2 linked regions of the Diceros bicornis minor genome follow. The protein of the gene in region 2 purifies or fractionates together with the protein of the main gene of each other region. This does not show direct contact. Links are inferred from orthologs where the notes say so. Each region holds a gene or a part of one and is shown on either strand. Other genes may lie near its edges. The genes, in order: GNG2 and GNB5.

Region 1 (11,011 bases), about 48 Mb from region 2:
CATGTTATCACTGGAGTTTGAGAATTGAGCTCGTCTTTTTTAATGTTTAATGAAGTCCTCTAGAGCTTGTCTGAACATTGACTCCCATTAAATACAACTCGTTTCCTCTAACATAAGAGTTTTGGGGAACCATGTATATCTTCATGTTTGAACAAATTTCAACATGGAAACTCCATATTTACATAGGGTGTTAAATTGAAACATCACCTTCTTCTTTTTATTATTTTACTTATTTATTTATTTTTTGAGGAAGATTGGCCCTGCGCTAACATCTGTTGCCAATCTTCTTTTTTCTTTTTTCTCCCCAAAGCCCCAGTACATCATTGTGTATCATAGTTGTAGAGTTGTAGCTCTTCTATATGGGATGCCACCTCAGCATGGCTTGATGAGCGGTGCGTAGGTCCGCATCCGGGATCCGAACAAACGAACCTCAGGCCGCCAAAGCGGAACACGTGAGCTTAACCGCTGCACCACTGGGCCGGCCCCCACCCTCTTCTTTTTAAACAAAATAATTTGGTCTTACCAACAATTTAAAAAGTGGTGAAGTATATAGACTTTCTCCATCCATTTGCCCTGCTAGAAGGGAGGTGAGGTGTCGATGAACAGTGCGACTCTAGAAAGGGAACTTAAATCCCGAGCCTACTTTACCATCCGTCCTGGAGGCGTTGACACAGGCTGGGTTCTTCCCCAGGTCATTTTCAGCTCTACCATCCCACAATGTCACAGGCCAGCAACTCAGTCTTAACACAGCTCTGTGACCCCCTCTCCCACCTGGATCTAGTAAAGCCATCATGGGTCCTCCCAGGAATTGTAGAATGAATAGATTTACAAATCAAACAAAGTGGGGGGTCGTTATCCAACTCCCCAACACACACAGAGTGCATTACACAAATCATCATGCAATCACCTAGGAGCTCCACTCAGGCCAACGTTTGCACCAGAACACAAATCTCAGATGTTGTCGCTGCTCAATAGAGTCCCCGCAATCATCCTGCCCAGCTCTCCTCAGCCCATCCACACTTTGCCTCACTGGTTGCAAAATCTGGAGTGAAATCGGTAGTGGAAAATGAAACAGAAGGATTCTTTTTTTCACAGTGAAGTTTAGATTAGACTCACATTTTGTTAACAGAAACTTCTCTCAGAAATCTGCGTGGTTGAACTCCACAGGCCAACCCTCTCATTATAAAGAATTTGAGAACAATTTAGTGCTTTAGTTTCTCCTCCCTTTTTCTGACCCTGCTACCCAGTGGGCATTTTTTCTCATCCAGCTAATGAGCGGAGACGAGAAAGACACAGCCCCCCAGTGCATCCTTTGTAGCAGCCCAGTCCACACTGGACCAGCAGGGTCACTGGCGTGACTGTCCACAACAAGGGTTTGAATTTCACTATCAGGTTCACAATATCACCAATTATCAGGAGCTATGCAGATTTTCTTATTTTCTCCTTTTGATTTTAAAAGTTGCTTTTGAGACAAGTCTTTTACTTGGGCGGGGAGAATACTGGTGTCCACAGGAGATTAAACACAAACATTGTCATCTTGATCTTTATCACGCACTATGTTAAGAGATCCCACTATTTAAAAAAGTCTCCTCGAAAACAACCCAATTAAAAAACGGGCAAAGGGCTTGAATAGACATCTCTCTAAAGAAGACATACAAAAGGCCTATAGGCTCATGAAAAGACCCTCAACATCACCAATCCTTAGGGAAATGCAAATGAAAACCACACAGAAATACCAATTCACACCCATTAGGATGGCTGTTGTCACAAATAACCAACCAACCCCAGGAAATAACAAGTGTTGGTGACAATGAGGAGAAATTGGAACCCTTGTGCACTGCTGGTGGGAATGTAAAATGGTGCAGCTGCTATGGAAAACAGTATGGCAGTTCCTCAAAAAATTAAGCATAGAATTACCATACGATCCAGCAATTCCACTTCTGGGTACCCAAAAAGAAGTGAAAGCAGGGACTCCAACAGATATTTGTACACCCATGTTCACAGCAGCATTATTCACAGTAACTGAAATGTGGAAGCAACCCAAGTGTCCATCGATAGAAGAATGAATAAACAAAATGTGGTCTATACAAACAATGGAATATTAGCCAGCTAAAAAAGGAAGGAAATTCTGACACATGCTACAACATGGATGAATCTTGAAGACATTATACTAAGTGAATTGTTGATCACAAAAAGACAATACTGCATGATTCCACCTATATGAGGTCCTTAGAGTAGTCAAAATCAGAGACAGAAGGTAGAATGCTGGGTTCCAGGGACTAGGAGGAGGAGGGAATGGGGAATTAGTGTTTAATGGGAACAGAGTTTTAGTTCAAGAAGATGAAAAAGATCTGGAGATGGATGGTGGTGATGGTTGCACAACAACGTGAATATACTTAATGCCACAGAATGGCGCACTTAAAAATGGTTAAAATGGGAAATTTTGTGTTACATGTATTTTACTACAATAAAAAAAAACTGTCTCCTGGAACCTTTGAGGTGGTGGCCAAGGTCAAGAAAACGCTCACTTTTCCTTATGCTACCCAGGAAGGAGAAGGCATCTGAGAACCTGCTGTGTACCAGGCGCTCACATACCCACACGCAAGAGCAAAACCAAAATAAACACGACAAAACCAAAAAACAACCAAACAAAAATCCCCACAAACCTTGACTGTGTGCTGTTAACCCCTCTTCCCAATGAAGAAACTGACCCTCCTAAGTTAACGTACCAGGGCGAGGGGTCAGAACCAGAGGTCGGGTTCAAGGCAGACCTGCCGGAGGCTCGCAACGCTGGAGGCCTGCGTTCTTCTCACCCCATGGTGTTCTTTTCTTCCACACACAGCCATCCTTTGGAACAGGTTTTCTGCTTTGACTACAGAGCCTTTACACTTCAAAGCTGGGCCCGCCTTCTGAAGTAGGCTGAAAGACCAGTCAACCAAACACACTCACTGCGTGCTCGCTGTCTGAGGCCGGGGCTGGCCACCAAACAATGGACTCATGTTTCCACCCAGACACTGGCCATATGGCCGAAAAACACATACAATTAAAATTTCAGTGTTGTTGCACTCCCTCAAAAGCCACTGAACACCCTGGGCAAAAGCATTATGTCTGTCAGTGTTCCATATGGCCAGAATAAGTGGAAATGGTCTCATTTTACAGCATAGAAGCATATTCCTCTTCTTCCCAAACCTTCCACCATCATAGTTACTGATCTGCTGTCACTCGCTAATGTGCTTCAAGCTGGTATTTAACAATTAAGGAAATGTTTTGGGCTGCGCAGAAGATAGGCACCTCTTAGGTGATTTCTGAAAGAGGGCTGGGGCCCCGACTCTCCTGGGCCCGGGTTTCGTTTTCTTACTCTGGTATGAAACACTCGGAGGAAGGCAGATTGTCTACACACTCCCAGACAAAGCAGGGTGTTGGCGTTATCTCGTGAACGCAGCCTCAGATGAGCAGCTCCGAGGTGAGCCCCGGCCTCATTCTTATAGCCCGGATTTACGACTTTCCTCCTCAGTCTGTGACAGGCAGCTTGATCATAGCACTCCAGTCAGGGGCGTCCTGGACCCGAGATCCACCCTAGACCTCCTGTCCGGGAGTATTATCTTTCGTATTTCCCTTTAGGAGGCAAATGGAAAGCGGAACTGAGCTGTGTGTGGAGGACTGGTTTTGCCCACAGGTCTGATTAAACTGAGCGTGTGTGTTGGGGGAGCTCTGTGGTTTCCACACCAGCGATATTTTGCCTCTTAGACATGGTACAGGTTTAATTTAGTACGTGATCTCAGAAAAGCAGACTTTTTTTCTTTAGTACCTAAAGATTCTTACCTCTGAAAATGTGCTGCTACAGCACAAATTTGGAGAAGCCAAAATCAATTTCATAAAAATGACGTTAAAAAAACCCCTATAGCTCTTCACAATTGAGAATGTAATCAATGAGGAGGCATATACACTCTCAATGGCATATTTAACGTTTAAAAACCTGTATTTTAAGAATTTATGAATGTCTAAATATGACCTTTTTATTATTTTTACTCCACTATAAGCAGTTTTTTCTTTCTTTCTTTTGAAAATTTATCTCCTTTCATTCTAAAAACTCAAGAAAAAACCTTCGATCAATGACCATTTATTGCTTAGCCACACTTTCCGTCAGAGACAAAGCCTCATTTTTAAAATCACGCTATGCTAGAGTATTAAACTCTTTCTCCCACACACCCTGCCAAAGGAAGCTCAATCTCATTTCTAATCCGTTAGACCTATTTATTGCTCTTCTACATGTCGTTCATAAATATGAACAAGTCACGGTCACAAACTCTCATTAAGAGGACTCATTGCTCACGAAAATGAAAGAATAAAAATCACGTTCTGATCTGACTATTCCTGTCTGTCTACAGTGCATCCAGGTGAGGAAAAGACTCAGCCGCTCCTGCGTTTTTCCCGCACTGAGTTAGCATGCATCTTGACCTAAAGATGAATAAAATCCATATCAACACAAAAGCCACACACACCGATGTCTCGCTCTAGACAAGTTAAACCCGCCACACTCCTCTGAGAAAGGATGCAACTTTCGGAAAAGACCTACTGGAAACGGTAGCTGTTTCCGAGGTGATCAGAGAGCGGCTGCAGAGCCGAGGGAGGACACCGTTTCTTAATGGTAAATACTGCCCCTCACATAGCAATTCCAGCCTTTGTTGGCAAATTCTGAGCACAAAAGGATTTGAAAACAGCAACAAAAAAGCCAAGTCACAGTCATTTTGCTGCAAAACAGAAGCCGCCCCAGGGCACTATGTCAGAAAGATAATGCAATGAGCAGTTGACACCCTGAAAGGCGCAGATGATCGCCCCACAGCCCCACAGCCCCGACCCGCTTCCCCTCGGCCCGCTTCTCCGCCCAGAGAACGAGGCGAGCAGCTGCTTACACGCCGTGCGCTTCCCTGACGAGTCACCAGAGCCGAGTGCTCATGACGGTTTTCTTAAAGCAGCTGTGTCACAAACGCAGCCGTCCTAGCAAGCCCTCCTGGAAGAAGCCATCCCCATCATGCCCCCGATCCTGAAGCGGCGCCCCCGTCTCCCCTCGGAAATCCGCCCCGAAACCCACAGGCGACGGCCAGGTTGGGCGCTTCCCGAGGAGCCGCACGAGAGCGCGTCCCTTACCTCAGCCGGCGCCGGTCCGGGGAGGCGGCTGCGCGCCGATCTGCGCCGCCGCTCGCGCAGCCGCCCCGCCCGCCCGCGCGCGCGCCCGGCCCGCCCAGCGCAGGGGGCGCTGCCCGCCGGCGCGTGCGGCGGCGCCGGTCCCCGCCCGGCTTTGTCCTCGGCGAGCTTCTCCCCGCAGGAAGCTGCGCGTCTCCCACTTCCTCCTTCTCGGCCGCTCTGAGCCGCCTTCTTCGCGCCGTCTCACGCCGCCTCGGGGCTGCTCGGCGGCCCCGGCTTCGCCCCCCCGGGCGCCTGACGCGAGGCGCCGAGGGTCGCCATCCCTTTGTTCGCTCTGGGCCGCCGCTCTTCCTCCCCTTCCCCCTCACCCTCTCCTCCACAGCAGCGTCCAGCAGCCGCCCCCTCGCCCCGCGCCCGCACGCAGTCTGCTCTCTCAGCCTGCACTTGGCTGCTTCTTGCTGCTGCCTCTGCTGTCTTTTTTGGGTCAACAGCCCCTGGCCAGTTGTGGCCCTGAAATCCGGCGCCAGCCTCCATGACTCCTCCTGATTTCCTAGGGTCCCTATCAGGACGGCTGGCTGGGAGCTGGCCGCCTGCAGCTTCTAGCTGCAGCCTTTTTCTGTGGCCAACATTCCAGACACTTAATTTCTCCAAGGTCCCACTGCCACTGAGATCTGCGTTAACCCACATGCTCAGAAAAGAGTGGCCCCGATAAGTATTCTTGTGGGGACAGGAACTACACCAAGTCTTGCTCTGCTACCTGTGGCCTCATATGAAGACATATTCCCAGAAGATTCTCCGTGGTGGGAAGGAACAAGATGGGGCTGAATGCCACGAGTCCCAGCCCAGAAATAACCCCTTCCCCGCACCGTAGGGCTGAAAGGACCCTCAGGATCCTTGCTTTAGTAGTGTCATGGATGAGGGCAAAGCCTGCAGGCAGTCTGTTCACCCGATTTGAATCCAAACTGTATGAACTTGGGCAAATTATTTAACTTTTACATGCCTCAATTTCCTCATCTGCAAAATGGAGATGAGTATAGTCAGACCCTCAGCAGAAATCTGAGGATTAAATGAGATGGCACACAAAATGATAACATAGGAAGTGTTCGTGTGTATTAGCTCGTTATTTTTAGAGGATGTGGAAGCTCAGAGATGGCCGGTGACGTCGGCATCAGCAGCCAAAGCAGGATCAGTATTTGGTTCCCGACCCCCCTTAGTTAACGTATCCATGACTAACGCAGATGCTCTTGGTGACGATTCATTCAGCTTGTAAGTCATTCTCTCCCGACCAACACAGGTGCTTTGGGGCAGCTACAGATTAAACACAGGCTGGGGGCGGGGGAATCCTTCTTCTGTGTCCAGGCAACGCTGCTAAGAAACCTCTCCTCAGGATTCCGTGCCTGGAAAGTTAATCTTAAATCCTCCAGCAAGTAAACCAACAGGAAATGGAAATGCAGGGCTGACGCAGGTTACCTGGACACTCAGGGAAGAAGCCAGCTGAGCCTTCCTAACCCACCTAGGGGACCACAGCACATCAGCCTGGAGGGCACAGAACTTGATTTCTATGAAATGTTCTGACAGCCCCAGGATACTCTTTGTTTTGATTTGATGTTCCATGAACAGAGTTTGCTTATTTCTTCCTGGAAATCTTTTATCAAAAAGGAACATCGGAAAATTTGGATTGTTTTAAGATTAAAAATGAGAAACTAAAACTTCTGAGCCACCAGCAGATAGAATTGTAGCAGCGGAAGAGGATTGGACATAGATTCCCACAGCCTCCTGCAACCCAGTGAAAATCAGACGTGAATTTCCTCTAAATCAGGAATCTTGGTGCCAACGGTTACTAGGAGCTTTTAAACAAAAATTTAGATGTATATGATACTAAGTCTAAGAAAAATGAGAAGCACAGTTATTAATGGTTGGAAGATTATGGAAACAAATCTTTGGTTAATTTTAGACTAGTGGCTTCTGACGTTAACTCTGGATTCAAATAAGTATTTTTTTTTTTTAAGATTTATTTGTCTTAAGGGACTTAAATAAGTCCTCTCTCTCTCTCTCCCCTTCTCACAGTTTCTCCAAACCATCAGAAAGTGGTTGGTACTTATCTTTATGTCTGTATAGGAAAATCTCTTTCAGACAACAAAGTCTCTAGGAATTTGTCCTGCTGCCGTCTGATGGGTTCTTCCCTCTCTGGCCCTTATAAAACTCTCAGTAGGTTAACCTGGCCATTGCTGGGAAGTGCCAACCATCCTCTCCCCAAAGCTGAAAACTAGATTTTAAGATCTTTCTCTTGCTGTCATTAACCTCCTTGCTTTCTGGTCCTAATAGCCTCTTTTTCTGGAGAGAAAAGAAAAATGTGTGGTATAGATTCAGTAAGAGAGAAGATTACTCCAGTTCAGAGCTCTTAACACAAGTGTGGTAAGTACGCCTACCAAGTGTGCATTTCTTAGGAGGTACAGTTGCATCTCACCGTGAGCAGTTCGTGCCGTCAGTAACTGAGTATGAGCCTACCCCAGACACATTTTATCAACACAGAAAACAAAGCCTGTTCATCGGTAGCCTGTTTGTAGGCATTGATACCCTGTAGTTCTTGCATCTACCTGGTTAGGAGGCTGATGGTAACAAGGAGGCCATCGTCTTGGCCTGACAGCTCTCCTGCATTCCTGAGCGTTCTAGCTGAAGTTCCTTGGAGTTCTTTAACACTAACATTCCCCAAATTATGGAGATTACCTCATCCAAAGCTGTTCTCCTTTCTCTCTTCTCCATTCCATTTAATGAGGAATACAAACCAGTTGCCCACAGCAGGAATGTAAGAGTAATATCAGAACCATTTGTCTTTGTTACCCCAGGTCTGGTTTAAATTTCCTCATCCCTCCATTCCCACCACCAGACTCTCTCTTTGACCACACCACTCCTCCCTATTGCCCTGGCCACTGTCTGATTAATAGATTCCTGGGTTTTCCCTGTATGACTGCAATACTCCCTACTTGGTCCTCCTGCCTCCTAGCTCTCTTCTAAGCCACGCCCACAGAAGTACATTTCTAAGATGAAGAGTTGAGCATGTCACTGCCGTGTGTAATTTTTCAGTATCTCCCCTCCCATTGCTTACAAGGCCTTCCATAATGTCGCCCAACTACACTCTAACTTTAGTATCTAACCTGTGGCAACCCCACGTCCACTCACTCCACACCCGTCTTCGTGGCAGGTTCCCACGGGGCCATGCTCTTTTCTCCTCTGCATCTTGGCACATGCTCTTTTTTTTTGCCAGAAATGTGCTTATTCCTTCCTCCATTTTGTCAGTTGGTGACCCCAACTTATCCTTTCAGACTCTTCTCTCTCAGAAGCCTTCCCTGACCTCGCCAGCTGAGCCTCTGTCTCTTGCTCTGTGAGTGCGTGGCACCCTGCCTCATGTCCACTTGGGCACCAGCTGCATTGTTTCATGAGTTGTTATATGTCCACCTCACTCACCACTCACTATTTGAGCCCCTTCACAAGGTTGGAGATTTGTTCTGTTCATCTTTGCTTGTTAAACAGCAGGTAGCTAACAGATGTTTGTATAATGAAAAGGCTATATGGGCAGAAATTCCAAAACCGCTTTTGTGTTCCTTTGGTTGCCTGGGAAGGAGGAAAAAGGGAAGTTTCTGATATGAGAAGTTGGTCATGGGATAAGAAATAATAATTCCTTTATTTTTTGCAAATTGTCTGCAGAAAACCCTGGTGCACACGTACCACATTCTGAGTGTTTGTCATATAGGTGACCTTAGAGAATCCTGGGGCAAGAGCTGGTTCCGTTTCCACACTGAACTGCTTACAGAGAAGCACGGTCAGGCAACAAAGCAATTTAGAAAATAAAAGGAAATAGAAAAAAGGAAAGAAAGCTATTCTGTACTTGCATTTCTGGATGAACTTTAAAGGGACTAATTTATGAGCCAGAAACACTGTTCATGTTCCCTCCTGCCCTCTCCAGTTCTCGCCACCTTACAGATGCCCCCGAGCCAAATCCTCAAACTCTTCCTATACTCTCTTTGCAGTATTGTCGTGTGTGTGTGCGTGTGTGTGTGCGTGTGTGTGTGTCCCGGCCATGCCCAGCTGGCTCTTTACTACTTGGATGGACTTCTCTTCTCTGGCCAAGTCCTCCCTACATGTCTCAGCTTTGTTCTCGCTCTGTCCTTCCTTACTTTGTATCAGGAGCCATAAACCATACCAGCAACACCTCCTTGAGTGCATGTGTGGACTGTGGTGAACAGGGAAGAGCAAAATGGGGATAAGAAGGTGAATTCATGGATTAATAAGTCTTGCCTGCTCACAGACATTCACGATACATTTAATAACTTGCTTAATTGTTGTGCCAAAGAGTAATCAAGGTTAAAAAAATGAATCATTGAGGTATTCTTTTACCACGGAAAAACCAGATTTCCAGGCATTTCTTGGATCAACTAAAGAGAATAGAAGTCTCTCTAAAGACTTTGTCCAAAAAAGGCATAATCTTGATCTGATCTGTGTGTCACAGGTCGTTCCCTCCCCCAGACACCTGAGCCCACCCCCAGCCGTTAGGAGCCATGAAGGCTGAATCATATTGGGTGTAAAGAGAGTCAGGGCTGGGTGGGCAGAACTAATCTTTCTCGCGAGATGGTGGCTGAACCTCTCAAAACGCCAGTCCCTGTCTCAGAGCCCAACACAAGAGCTGGTAGGACAGGGGTTTGCAGAGTGATGGCCACCTCTCGGTCCATCTGGAAGGCAAAGTGGGAGGGGCTTGATTCTCCTTTCCCTTTGCCCCAGGCAGGGCCAACCAGGGGATTCACAGAATAGTATGAGGCCCCCAGGTTCTTCTCCAATATTGCCTGAAATGTCACCAAAATTGAACTTATTTGGGTTGTTAGCCGAAATGTATGCATGTGTGTATTACATACGTGAAGCCCTGGGGAGGTTGAGTGATGGAGTTCAAGAAACTTGCTTTCCTAACACCTCACGAGAGAACAAGCACAGTGTTGATGGGGGGGTGGGGTTCGGAGGCCAAGGGTAGAGGGAGGCTAAGGGGCTGGAAGAGGGCTCACGGTGGGGCACGAGGTCTCCTGAAGACCACACTGGGCATGGAGATGGGGAGGGAGACAGAGCCAGAGCTGGAAGTAGGTCAGAAAGAACCATGGAGGCCTGCACACGTGAAGCCAAGCAGCTGTGTGCAGGGGTAGTGTGGCCAGTTAAGTGGGAACAAAGGCTGGACACTTCCAGAGTGGACACTGCCTGCCCCGAGTCTGAAGCTTGTGTCATCCCGTGAGCAGAAATCATTCCAAACCTTCCTCCAGCAGGAGCGGGAGCCAGACTGCCGACTAGGGTGATGCGAGAGTGTAAACCGAATGCATTATTACCACAAAAACAGAAACAGCAATTCTGCAAAATACGACTTGTCCCCTCTAAAAAGTCTCTGAAGACCCACACAGAAGATCAGGAAGCGGGCAACGAGATGAGGAAGAGGCCGTCAGCCAGAGCCTGACCGAGGCGAGAACACGGCGCAGAGCGAAGCCTGGGAGAGTCCTCCGAAAGGGCCGTCAGGATTGAAGGATGCGAACTAGTAGATGAACAACACAGAGTAAGGCATTTTGAAGTGTCTGAAAGAAAAGCTATACAATAATAACTCCAATAATTTGCAGGCAAGGTGGAAAGGCAAGACTTGGTTTTTCTGTGCCGAGTGTGAGGACGGACAGGGCAATCTACTCCAACAGTAAATAGGATGGCAAAGGCTGCAGAGGGGAAACAGGGCTCTGGGGTGCTCGTTTCTGTGTCTGTTGACTTCCCTCAGTGAAGAGGATTCGCAGGTTTGCTTCTGACCTGGGTCTCCCAGCTCTGCTTTCTCCCTAAGTTTTAAGGTTTT
Region 2 (10,047 bases):
GGCGACATGTGGAGGGGCAGCTGGGAAGTGGATTACTCTGTAGGGAAGCTCACTTCTCTAAGCCTCAGTACACACGGCATATCTCCTTAGAACACGGAAAAAGTGAATCAACACACTTGCTTCAGACTAATCCCGAAATTTGCCTTTTCTAGATTTCTCCCTACATCATAAAATCAGAAGAGTCCAAGGCTCCAGCCATAGAGCCTTTGTGAATAAAACCTTTCACCAAGTTACACCTGGAGCAGATAGAAAAGCGAATCGCATCTGATGATAAATCTTGTCACTTGCCCAAACTTCGTCTGGATTTGTACTTAGAGAAATTACGTAAATCTTCTTTGAGTTGCTTCGTTCCTAGACAACATTAGAATCTGCCACGGAGGAGCTGGGAATCTGGATGAAGCCCCCATAAAGCCCCACGAGGCTGCCGTGTATGCTGGCTGAAATGAACACGGTGCCCTCCTGCTCTGGCTGCTCCCAGACCATTTTTTCCTTTTTATTATAAAAGCAGTAAATGCCCAGATGCATATAAAGTACCTCTGCTTCCCCCTACCCCTCTGGACCCCTTGTTAGAGATGACAAGTTTCTTGTGTATCCTTCCAGAAATTTAATGCATATGTAAGCATCTCTTGTTTAAGCTAATAAGATCATTTTATATACACTGTTTGGCACTTTTCTTTTTTCTCTTTTTTTTTTTTTACTTAATATTGACACCTTTTCGTATACACACACACAGATTTACTTTTCTTCCTTTTAAATGTAAATCTTAACTTGCTGAGATGTGGCCTGGCATGGTCAGAGGGAGAGCTGTACTAGGAGCCTGGAGTCTACTCCCCATTCTCCTTTACAGCGGCTGCATAACCTTAGGGAAATCTCCAAACCCTTCCTTGGATCTCAGCTGCTTCCTCATCCCACAGGAAAAGGGGTTGAGTTGTTGGGAAGAGAAGAAAACTTTTTGTGCCTGAAGACTGAGGCTGAGGCAGGTGGCCCTTTCCAGGTTTAAGACCTGTGTGATAGGCCCTCCAAAGATGTCCACATCTCAATCTCCGGAACCCGCAAATATGCTACCTTACAAAGCAAAGGGACTTTGCAGACGTGATTAAGTTAAGGATCTGGAGATGGAAAGATTATCCTGGATTTTTCAGACGGGCCCAATGTAATTACAAGGGTCCTTAGAGCAGGGAGGCAGGGGGATCAGAGTCAAAGAAGGAAAGGTGATGATGGAAATGAGGTTGGAGTGATGTGGGGCCATAAGCCAAGGAATGCAGCCTCCAGAAGCTGGAAAAGGCAAGGAATGAACTCTCCCTCAAAGCCTCCAGAAGGAATGCAGCCCTGCTGACCCATTTTAGACCTCTGACCTCCAGGACTGTAAGAGAATAAATTTATGTTGCTTTAAGCCACTATGCTTGTGGGAAGTCATACAACAGCAACAGGAAACTAACACAAGCTGCAACCTAGTGATTCTAAAATGCCTTAGAATCACGCAGGGGAGCACTTCCCCCTGGTGGAAGGTAAGCAGAAGGCGACAGGGGAAGTTTCCAGGGAGAAGCAGGAAGCGCTGGAGGAGTAGGGGGAAGGCAGGGGCAGGGCGCGGGGCTGGGCTGTGGAGTGGGACGTAGGCTGGCTTCCCTGTAGACCACCCGTCTAAGCCACTCCTGTATTGAATGTCAGCCAAGGGTCTGACTTCAGGATGAGGGCCCCACAGAATAGACGCTGGTCTGAGGGTCAAAGGGATGGGAGCTGAAGAAGTGGGGGTCTGGACTTGGGAAAATCTCACTTTTCCTCCAAGTGTATGCTCTACAATTTTGTTGTGTTGACTTTCTAAAGGCAAGACTTTGGGCAAGTCAGAGCTAACAGAAGGCTGACCAACTGTTCCAGTTTGCCCAGGACTGAGGGTTTCCCAGAATGTAGGACTTTCCATTTTAAAACCCAGAGTCCCGGGCAAACCGAGATGATGTAGTCACCTTAGCTTATGGCCTATAGAAGTTTCCTCGAATAGGGGAGGGGCTACAGGGCTGTCTATACGACAACACCGAAATGCATAAATGTGCAGTCTCGGGGAGAGGCTGAGAGACTGGAAGAGAGAAGAGCCCAGTGATCCTGGATCATGGACATCTCCGTGGGAGAGAGTGCAGTCAGAGGAGGGGCAGTTCTGAGTGCTAAGAAGATCCCAGGGGGCTGTGATGGAGTGAGGGGCCAGCGTGTTAGGAGGGTCACCTTTGTGGACCCTGAAGACACCGGGGATGGGGCAGGGCTTAGGGTCAAAAGGAAGGCTCAAGCCATGTGCCAAAGTCCTTAAGAAGTGAGGGAGCCTGGCTGGGAGGTCAGGAGACAGCAGCACACAGGGGGGAAGAGGTAGGTCAGCTGAATAATGGGAACTTCAAAGGAGCAAGGGTTTTACATGAGGGGAGGATAAGAGGGGATGGAGGAGAAGTGGTCCAGAAGCTGCAGGGGGAATAAAGGGGAACATGACCACATGACTTCCGGTCTTTTTTTTTTTTTTTTCTGGTGAGGAAGATTAGCCCTGAGCTAACATCTGTTGCCAATCCTCCTCTTTTTGCTGAGGAAGATTGGTCCTGGGCTAACATCCGTGCCCATCTTCCTCTACTCTTTATATATGGGACACCTGCCACCATGGCTTGATGAGTGGTGCATAGGTCCGTGCCCAGGATCCGAACCAGTGAACCCCGGGCCACAGAAGCAGAGAGCGCGAACTTGACCACTATGCCATCAGGCCGGCCCCAGGTCTTTTCAATTCAAAAGTTCTGACTTATGCAGGTGGGGATAGATCCTTCCACTGTGGGTCCAAAATTTGGCCCTGGCCTCTGAGGGCACTGCATCCTTGGCAGGAGAGGGGTTCCCTGTTGAAAAGCTGCATCTTGACAACCTCTCTGCCTTAAGGCAATTTACCAATTCACAGAAAAGGCTGAAAGACATCTGAGTGGGCAGCCTGCCACTGCTGAGTACGTGAGTTTCTGGAGAAGGCCCTCTGCATAGAGTACAATGGGCTCTGCAGAAAAGCTGACTTGAGGCTGGGCTGGAATCCTGGTCCCACCACTTACTAGCTGGGGTCCTCCGGCAAGTCGTTTCACCTCTCTGTACCTCAGTTTCCTCATCTGTAAAATGGAGAAATCAGACGGCCTACCTCAGAGGCACTAATGCCACGCTTACAGCATTGTCGTTATCAGCTGCAGAGAGTAGGAATTTGTAAAGGGAAATGGGGCGGACCCTGTCCCATGCCTCCCAATATCCATTACCTACTTCCTCCCTGAAATCCAGCTCTGTTTGGGGATGGCAATGTGCCCAGCTCCGTTCTCGCTTTCCCAGTCTCCATTGCAGTAGCCATGTGGCCCAGTTCTGGCTAATGAAGTGCAAACAGAAGTCTGTAAGGGACATTCTGGGGAAAACTTTTGCTTTCCTGACAAGAAGGAGAAATAGAGGTTGGTGTCCACATTCCGCCTTCTTCCTGCCCTGGATACAGAGGTGATGTCTTGAGCTGTGGCAGTCATATTATAATTATGGGGCAAATGCCACCGCTCTCAGGGTGGTGGAGAAGAAAGACAAGAGTGTGGGTCCCTGACGGCACATTGGACAGCTGAACCAGCGCTGGCAATCGCCTACCCTTGTTCTTGTTATGTAAGAAAAATAACTCTCAATCTGCTTAACTCCTTTATTTGGGATTTATAGTTAATTGTAGCTGGACACATTTCTAAATGACATAGGAGCTTAGTGTGCCTCCTATTTAGAGGAGGCCCCTATAAAAGCACAGCATACTCTAGATTAGGTCATCTGCTTCTTTCAAGTGATTTTCAAAGAAAGGAACCAGGTGGTAAGGGACCTAGCATGAACCCCATTTTTCTCTTTCAAACACAATTTAAAGGGGGTGGTACCAAGTAGGAGTGGCAGGAGCACAATGTACAGGTGTACCTGAGGGCACTACGGGGAGGCTGTGCTCGGAAAGGGGAGCCGCGAGCCTCAGAGCTGAAAAGTAAGCAGACAAGGCCACTTCCCCAAGCCTGGCCCGGACCGAAGCTCTGCTGAGGACGAACCGTCTGACAGGTCAAAGGGAAGCTGATCCCGCCAAGAGCTATTTAATCTGGCTTTTTAACTGTTCACTCTTAAAAATCACAGACCGGTTCTGAACTATGGTAGTGGTCAACAACGTAAATTTATTCAAGATTGCTATTGCTCTTTTATGCCAATCACACTGCATCCATCCAAAAAAGCTTCTTAAACAGCCTTCAATGAACTAAATGGTTAATTTGGTAAGCTCCTCGGCTTCCCTTCCCCCATCCGGTTCTGCAGCCACCAGGAGAGGGGGAGACTGGAAAAATTAGCTTTTAAAAAAAGAGTCTGATTCCTTGTAAAAGCAAAAGTGAGAAAAGACACGGCAGTGACGGAGAAAGCCAAATGATTAAAAAACAAAACAGGAGTCTACCCTAGGCCTCGCGCACACGGGCTCGCTGCGCTGGCCACCACTGCCACCCCCTCCACCCCGCCCCGCCTGGGAAGGGCAGGGATGGGATCAGTTTGCATCTTCCAGGAAAGTGGTGACAGTAACCGGTCCCACGATCCTTCGTCGGGAGGATAGAGGCCAGGGGCTGACACCACCGGGCTCCCCCGCCCAGAGGCGGGCGGGGGCTCTGCAAGGTGCCTGGAGCCTCCGAGGGCCGCCCAGCTCGGGCCCCACACCCCCCAGGCCGCTGCCCGCGCCTCACCTGGTGCCGGACACCGGGGCCCGCATCCCCGGAACGGCGCAGGCCTGGCCCCCGCCCCGGGCCCGGGCCGCCCCCTCCTCCGGGAGCCGGGCGCCTGTCTCGTTTCCTCGGCCCGCCTCCCGGCGCGCAGCCCCCGCCCCGCCCGCACTCACGCTCCACGTCGTGCAGCTTGGCCCGCTCCTCCTCCAGTTTGCCCTTGAGGCTCTCGGCCTCGCTCTTCAGCGACGCCAGCGTCTCGTTCTCGTGCAGCCCGTCGGTTGCCATCTTCGCGGGGGACGCGGCGGGGAGGGAAGCGGAGAGCCGGGCTGCGGTGAGCGGGCGACGGAGGCGCGGCCGGGGAGCGGGCGCAGCTCCAGCCGCCGTCTCTCGAGCGCGCCCCGCCCTCCGGCGCTGACGCGGCCGCCGCGAGCCGGCTGCGGCGGCCGATCCCCCCCCTCTGCGCCGGCCTCGCCCGCGCGCCCCGCGCCCCCCGCCCCGGCACCTCCTGCGCGCGCCCTGGCGCAGTACCCCGGGCCCTGCCCGCCTTAGCGCCGCTGCGCACACCACCCCGGAGAAGCACGGAGCGTCGTGCCCATTTCACCGCTGGGAAAACCGAGGCTCAGAGATGATCCGTGATTTGCCAGGAAGATGCTAACGTAGTGAAGGGCCAAACTGGGATTCCAACCCAGGGCTGCCTGGCCCCTGGGAGTCTGGTGAAGTCCCAGTGACACAGTCCCCCCCGCCCCCGCCGCCGGGGACTTGATTCCCTGCCAGTGGCTTCTACCTGCAGAGAGTGGACGAGAGAGGAGAGGGCAACGACACCCGGCCCGATCCCGGGTGCTCCCCCGACATCGAACCGGAAACTTTCCTCCTTGGTTGACTTAAATATACAAAAATAAAACTAGTTCCGGCTTCCGAGAAGCTCTGGGGTCTTTGTGGCATTAGGAGGCCTGCTCTTGGTTTTTGCTTTTCTTTTCTTCACTCGGGAATTAAGTCCCTGGCTGGGTGAGGGGTGCACAGGGGACCAGACCCGGGGCTTCCAAGCCCACGTCCAGAGATCTCGGACGTGTCACTGGTGAGGCAGCGTCCCCCACCTTAGAATGAAGGGCGGCTGCAGTTCTCTCAAGGACACAAATGTGGTGACTGACGGCAGACTCAAGCATCCCCTCTTCCAGTCCCCTGCGGGGCCAGGCACTGTTCCCAGTGCTTTACATTAACTCCTTTAATCCTCACAACTGTCACCCTCAATGGGTACTGTTATCATCTCCATTTTACAGATGAGGAAACTGAGGCACAGAAAGATTAAATGATTTAATCCGTTCACACTCCCAGAAAGAGGCAAAGGGAGGATTTGGACCCAGGCTTTCTGGCTCCATTCGGCTCCATGCCTCCGGACTTCGTCGTGGAGGACCCAACCCATGGCTTCTCCCTCCTCCCAGCTCCATGACCTGGCACGCGTGTGTTTCTCTACAGAATGGGAAGGCAGATCGAGGTTACAAATGCTTAAGTGAACGTCTCCACGCAGACTCTTGGGTGCTATCCCCACCCTCTTTGTACCCCTTCTTCTTGAGGAATCCAGCCTTGACATGTCGTAGGCCCTCTCTATCTAAGAAAAGTTGGAAGTAATCTATATTAGTCTACACATAGTTGTCTGGGAGGTTAGATTCTGAGCTCCTCAGTTTCCCCATCTAGAAAATCTACTTCATGGCGTCTACCTCACAGGGCTGTTATGAGAATTAAATCAGATGATATGCGTGAACCTCTTAGCCAACTGCTCCATCGCAGCAGATGCTTATTAACTGCCAGTTCCCTTCTCCCCACCCATCAATAAGGTTTATTCATCATTTATCCTCAGTGTTTAGCCTAATGACTGGTATATAGCAGGTGCTCAGTTAATGTTAGTTTATTCAATGGATGTATAAAACAAAATATGTAAATATATATGAAATATATAATTAAAAATAAAACATATAAAATGAGATACAAAATATATAAATGTTCTAGATACATTCAACCATTTACAAAAGCAAAAACATTAGATCTGTTTCAGAGTTGGTAGAGCAAAAGGTTAAGAGCATCGGCTCTATCTAGATCAGACTGCCTGGGGGCAAATCCTGGCTGTGCTGTGTGGGCTTGAGTGATTTACTTAACTTCTCTGTGTCTCAGGCTCCTCATCTGTAAATGGAGATAACACCTTCCTCACAGGGTCCTTGTCAAGAGTGACTACGTAGCGCATTCAGAGCAATGCATGGCACACAGTATGTGCTCGCTATTATTATTAAGGCTACCTGATACACTTGAGCAATTCACATGAAGTCATTGAAATGAGACACTAGGTCACGGGGAACGCTTCTCACAGGGTCATCTCAGAAGGCCCAGGCAAAGCAGCATCCTCTCCCCCTCTCCTCAGGCTGACACGTCTTGGACCATCATGGGGTGTGTATGCCTGCCTCGGGGTCTACCTGTCTCTGAAGACCTGGGGTGAGTGGAGTGTCACACTGCTGTGTGCCCTCCTCTGGAGGTTCTCTGTGTAAAATAAACCCCAAACACCCTCCCATCTGGAGAGTCTACCATCTAGAGATGAGGCCATGTAACTTTTTAATGGCTGGAAAAGTTTGCAAAGTGCCTTCCTGTACTTTGGCGTTCACTACTTTTCATAAGTGAGGAAGCTGGAGATCAGAAAAGGTGATTTCAGGGGTGGTGGAGGTACAGGGTTGCCCCTACTCACGAAAAGGGTCCCCTGGGGGCTGTGTCTACACAATCCCAAGCACCTGGATAAAAGGTCAGCTGTCCGTCATTTGGATGTCTCCTCAGCCAAAGACGTCTGTCTGAATATTTGGGAAGTGCTGTGGTGGAGATAGCCGGCAACAGTCCCCTGAAGAGTATCTCCAGGCAGGGCCTCTGACCTGCTGAGAATCTATGATGCCTCAGAGGACCCCATGTCTGGCATTCTGGGCTCCTGCTGTCCACACAGGAAGTTGTTTAAAAAACAGAAGAGCTAGATTAATAACTAGCACTGCTCCAGGATGGTAGGGCCACCAAAAAGCAGATTTATTTTAAGAACTGAATGTCCTCAGTTTGAGAATTTGCAGAACCAAGTTTAGAACATAATGTGCTGCAGGTAGAAGCCCGTTCCCTGAGCCTGAATCCTGAGACCTCAGGATTACTATTCTGTACCTCTGTGATTACTAGCCTGTGTGTCACCCTGTCCTGTCTACCTGCCATTTGTTTTATGGGAATAACGTTTTAAAATGTAATCACTGTCAGGGGTTACAATGGGACCAGGAGGATGAATATTGCCTTTCCTCTTCAGTTGAATAAAATGTAAATGTCATCTTTCCTCCCTTTGATATGTATTTTTTTAATGTGTTGATAATTGGGGATTTCCTATTGGGCTATTGGGGAAGAGTGCTTTACTGCTTTTGACCAGGTGGAGGCTCCACTCAGCTGCGCTACTGAGCACTGCTTTGCACATCCTCTGAGATAGGACTAATAATTCCTAGGGCTTCAGCCATGCTGTGGCCCTTTTTGCTGCTAGATCTGAAGACTGTGCATAGCCTGTTGAGGACTGATTTGTGTACTTTGACAAATGCCAGAATTTGTGTCCTGTCCCTAGCCCTCGCTGAAGGCTTAGGCCCAAGGAGCACTTTTCCCTGAGCTTAATTTTGCTCGCTACTGAGGCCCTGTCTGGTTGGATCTTGAATAGAGCTGTTCCTAGGGACAGCTGGCACAGGACCACTGGAAAGGTGCTCCCAGGCTATTTATTTCTCAGAGTCCCTTTTAGCTTGGTTGCTTGCCAAGCAGACTAGTAGAAGACAGAAGAAAAAAGCATTAGCGCTAAAAAATAATAATAGCTAAAACATTCATTGAGCACTTCCTGTGCACCATACTGTTTTAAACACTTTATCAAATGAACTCATTTGATCCTCACAAAACCCTGTGAGATAGATGCTGTTTTTCCTCTTTTACAGATGGGAATACAGATCTCTTGAGAGAGGCAAGATCTGTTGGCATACCATCACCTAACAACATAACTAGGATTTGAACTTAGGCGATCAGAGACCAGAGTCCACACCCTAAACCCGCATGGTCTGCTGGCCCACCTAGCCCAGGTGTGCTGAAAATGTTTGTGTGTAAACTGATTCTACGGCAACTCGTCTGTCACAGGACCCTCACCTTAGATATCGTTGTAAGACAGGTAACTACTTAAATTTTTAAAAAGTGGCACTTACAATTTCTGCACATATTGAACAGTAGCTGAACTGCTGAGATTTCTTGAAAACCGATCTCAGAGCCCTTTGTTTGAAACATTTGTCACAGGAGCCAAATACATTAACTAGAAAGGTCTGATCACACATCTTTTACCCAAGATGAAGCTGCAAGAGAAAGGGAGAGAGAAAAAAAAGGTATGTGTGAGAGAGAAAAGCCAACAGAAACAGCTTTGTAAAACCTCATCTTCCTTTATCACGTAGTTACTCCAACTCCTACATGTGGGATAAAGAATATATGGTTAATTTGTAACCTGTGATTTATTATAACATGCTAGGTCAACCCCAACTCACTTATTTAATCAGTAAGAAAGAGTCAGACAGTAGGTTTTCTGAACTCATGTTTAACCGGTTTTTGGCAGCTTGCAGACTCGGTCACAATTGATCTTTGCAGCACAATATTAATCCCGTGGGGCTTCACAGTGGACAGTGTCATTGTAATGGATACTATAATTTAAAACTTAAAAAAAAAAATTCCTCCTCTCAGGGTGAATTTTGGAGTAAAAACAAGAGCCAGAAAATAGTGGAGCCTGACCCCGACCAATGCCACGAGGCCAGGTAAATGCGGTGTTGGTTCCCTGCAAGGAACGCATCCCGTTTATTAAACATTTAACAGCCATACACCCAGAGTCCCTGCCTGTCCACCCAGAAGTCAACAGACAGGCCCAGGCCACAGAAGGGAGCGCAAACTTGAGGAAGCAAAACCATCTAGTGGAGAAGGGTACTGGCTCTGGCTGACTGGGTCCGGGTCGCGCTGCTTAGGCAGGTTACTCGACCTCTTTGAATCTTTGTTTGCTAATCTATCAAATGAGGATCTTAAAACCTACCATCATAGGGTTGTCAGGCGAATTATGAGAGAGAGTGCGTAGAGCACTTAGGTCAAGGCCGGAATATACTGAATGCTCCATAGATGTTATGCTGCCCTGTGAGTGGCTGCCACAGCAGCAGCAGGAAGGAGGGGAGGGAAGGGGGATGAGGCCAGAGATGCAGCAAGAGCAGAGAAGAGCCTATGGCCACAGGTCAGGCAAGACACAATGAAGGCCTGAACTAAAGCAACGCTGTGGGATGGATTTGGACCACACTTA

Evidence for each region.
Region 1: the proteins of GNB5 (region 2) and GNG2 purify together in Homo sapiens (affinity purification with western blotting; 4 studies listed by BioGRID and IntAct, with this or other methods). This does not show direct contact. The link is inferred for Diceros bicornis minor from reciprocal best matches to the Homo sapiens genes GNB5 and GNG2.

What each region holds. Positions count from the first base shown.
Region 1 is NC_080744.1:538,241-549,251, forward strand, and holds the start of GNG2 (guanine nucleotide-binding protein G(I)/G(S)/G(O) subunit gamma-2), read right to left. Parts: upstream 5,214-11,011; 5' UTR 5,149-5,213; intron 5,106-5,148; exon of another isoform or gene 4,914-5,105; intron 1-4,913. UniProt on the Homo sapiens protein: Guanine nucleotide-binding proteins (G proteins) are involved as a modulator or transducer in various transmembrane signaling systems.
Region 2 is NC_080744.1:48,139,340-48,149,386, forward strand, and holds the start of GNB5 (guanine nucleotide-binding protein subunit beta-5), read right to left. Parts: upstream 5,041-10,047; 5' UTR 4,980-5,040; coding exon 4,868-4,979; intron 1-4,867. UniProt on the Homo sapiens protein: Enhances GTPase-activating protein (GAP) activity of regulator of G protein signaling (RGS) proteins, such as RGS7 and RGS9, hence involved in the termination of the signaling initiated by the G protein coupled receptors (GPCRs) by accelerating the GTP hydrolysis on the G-alpha subunits, thereby promoting their inactivation.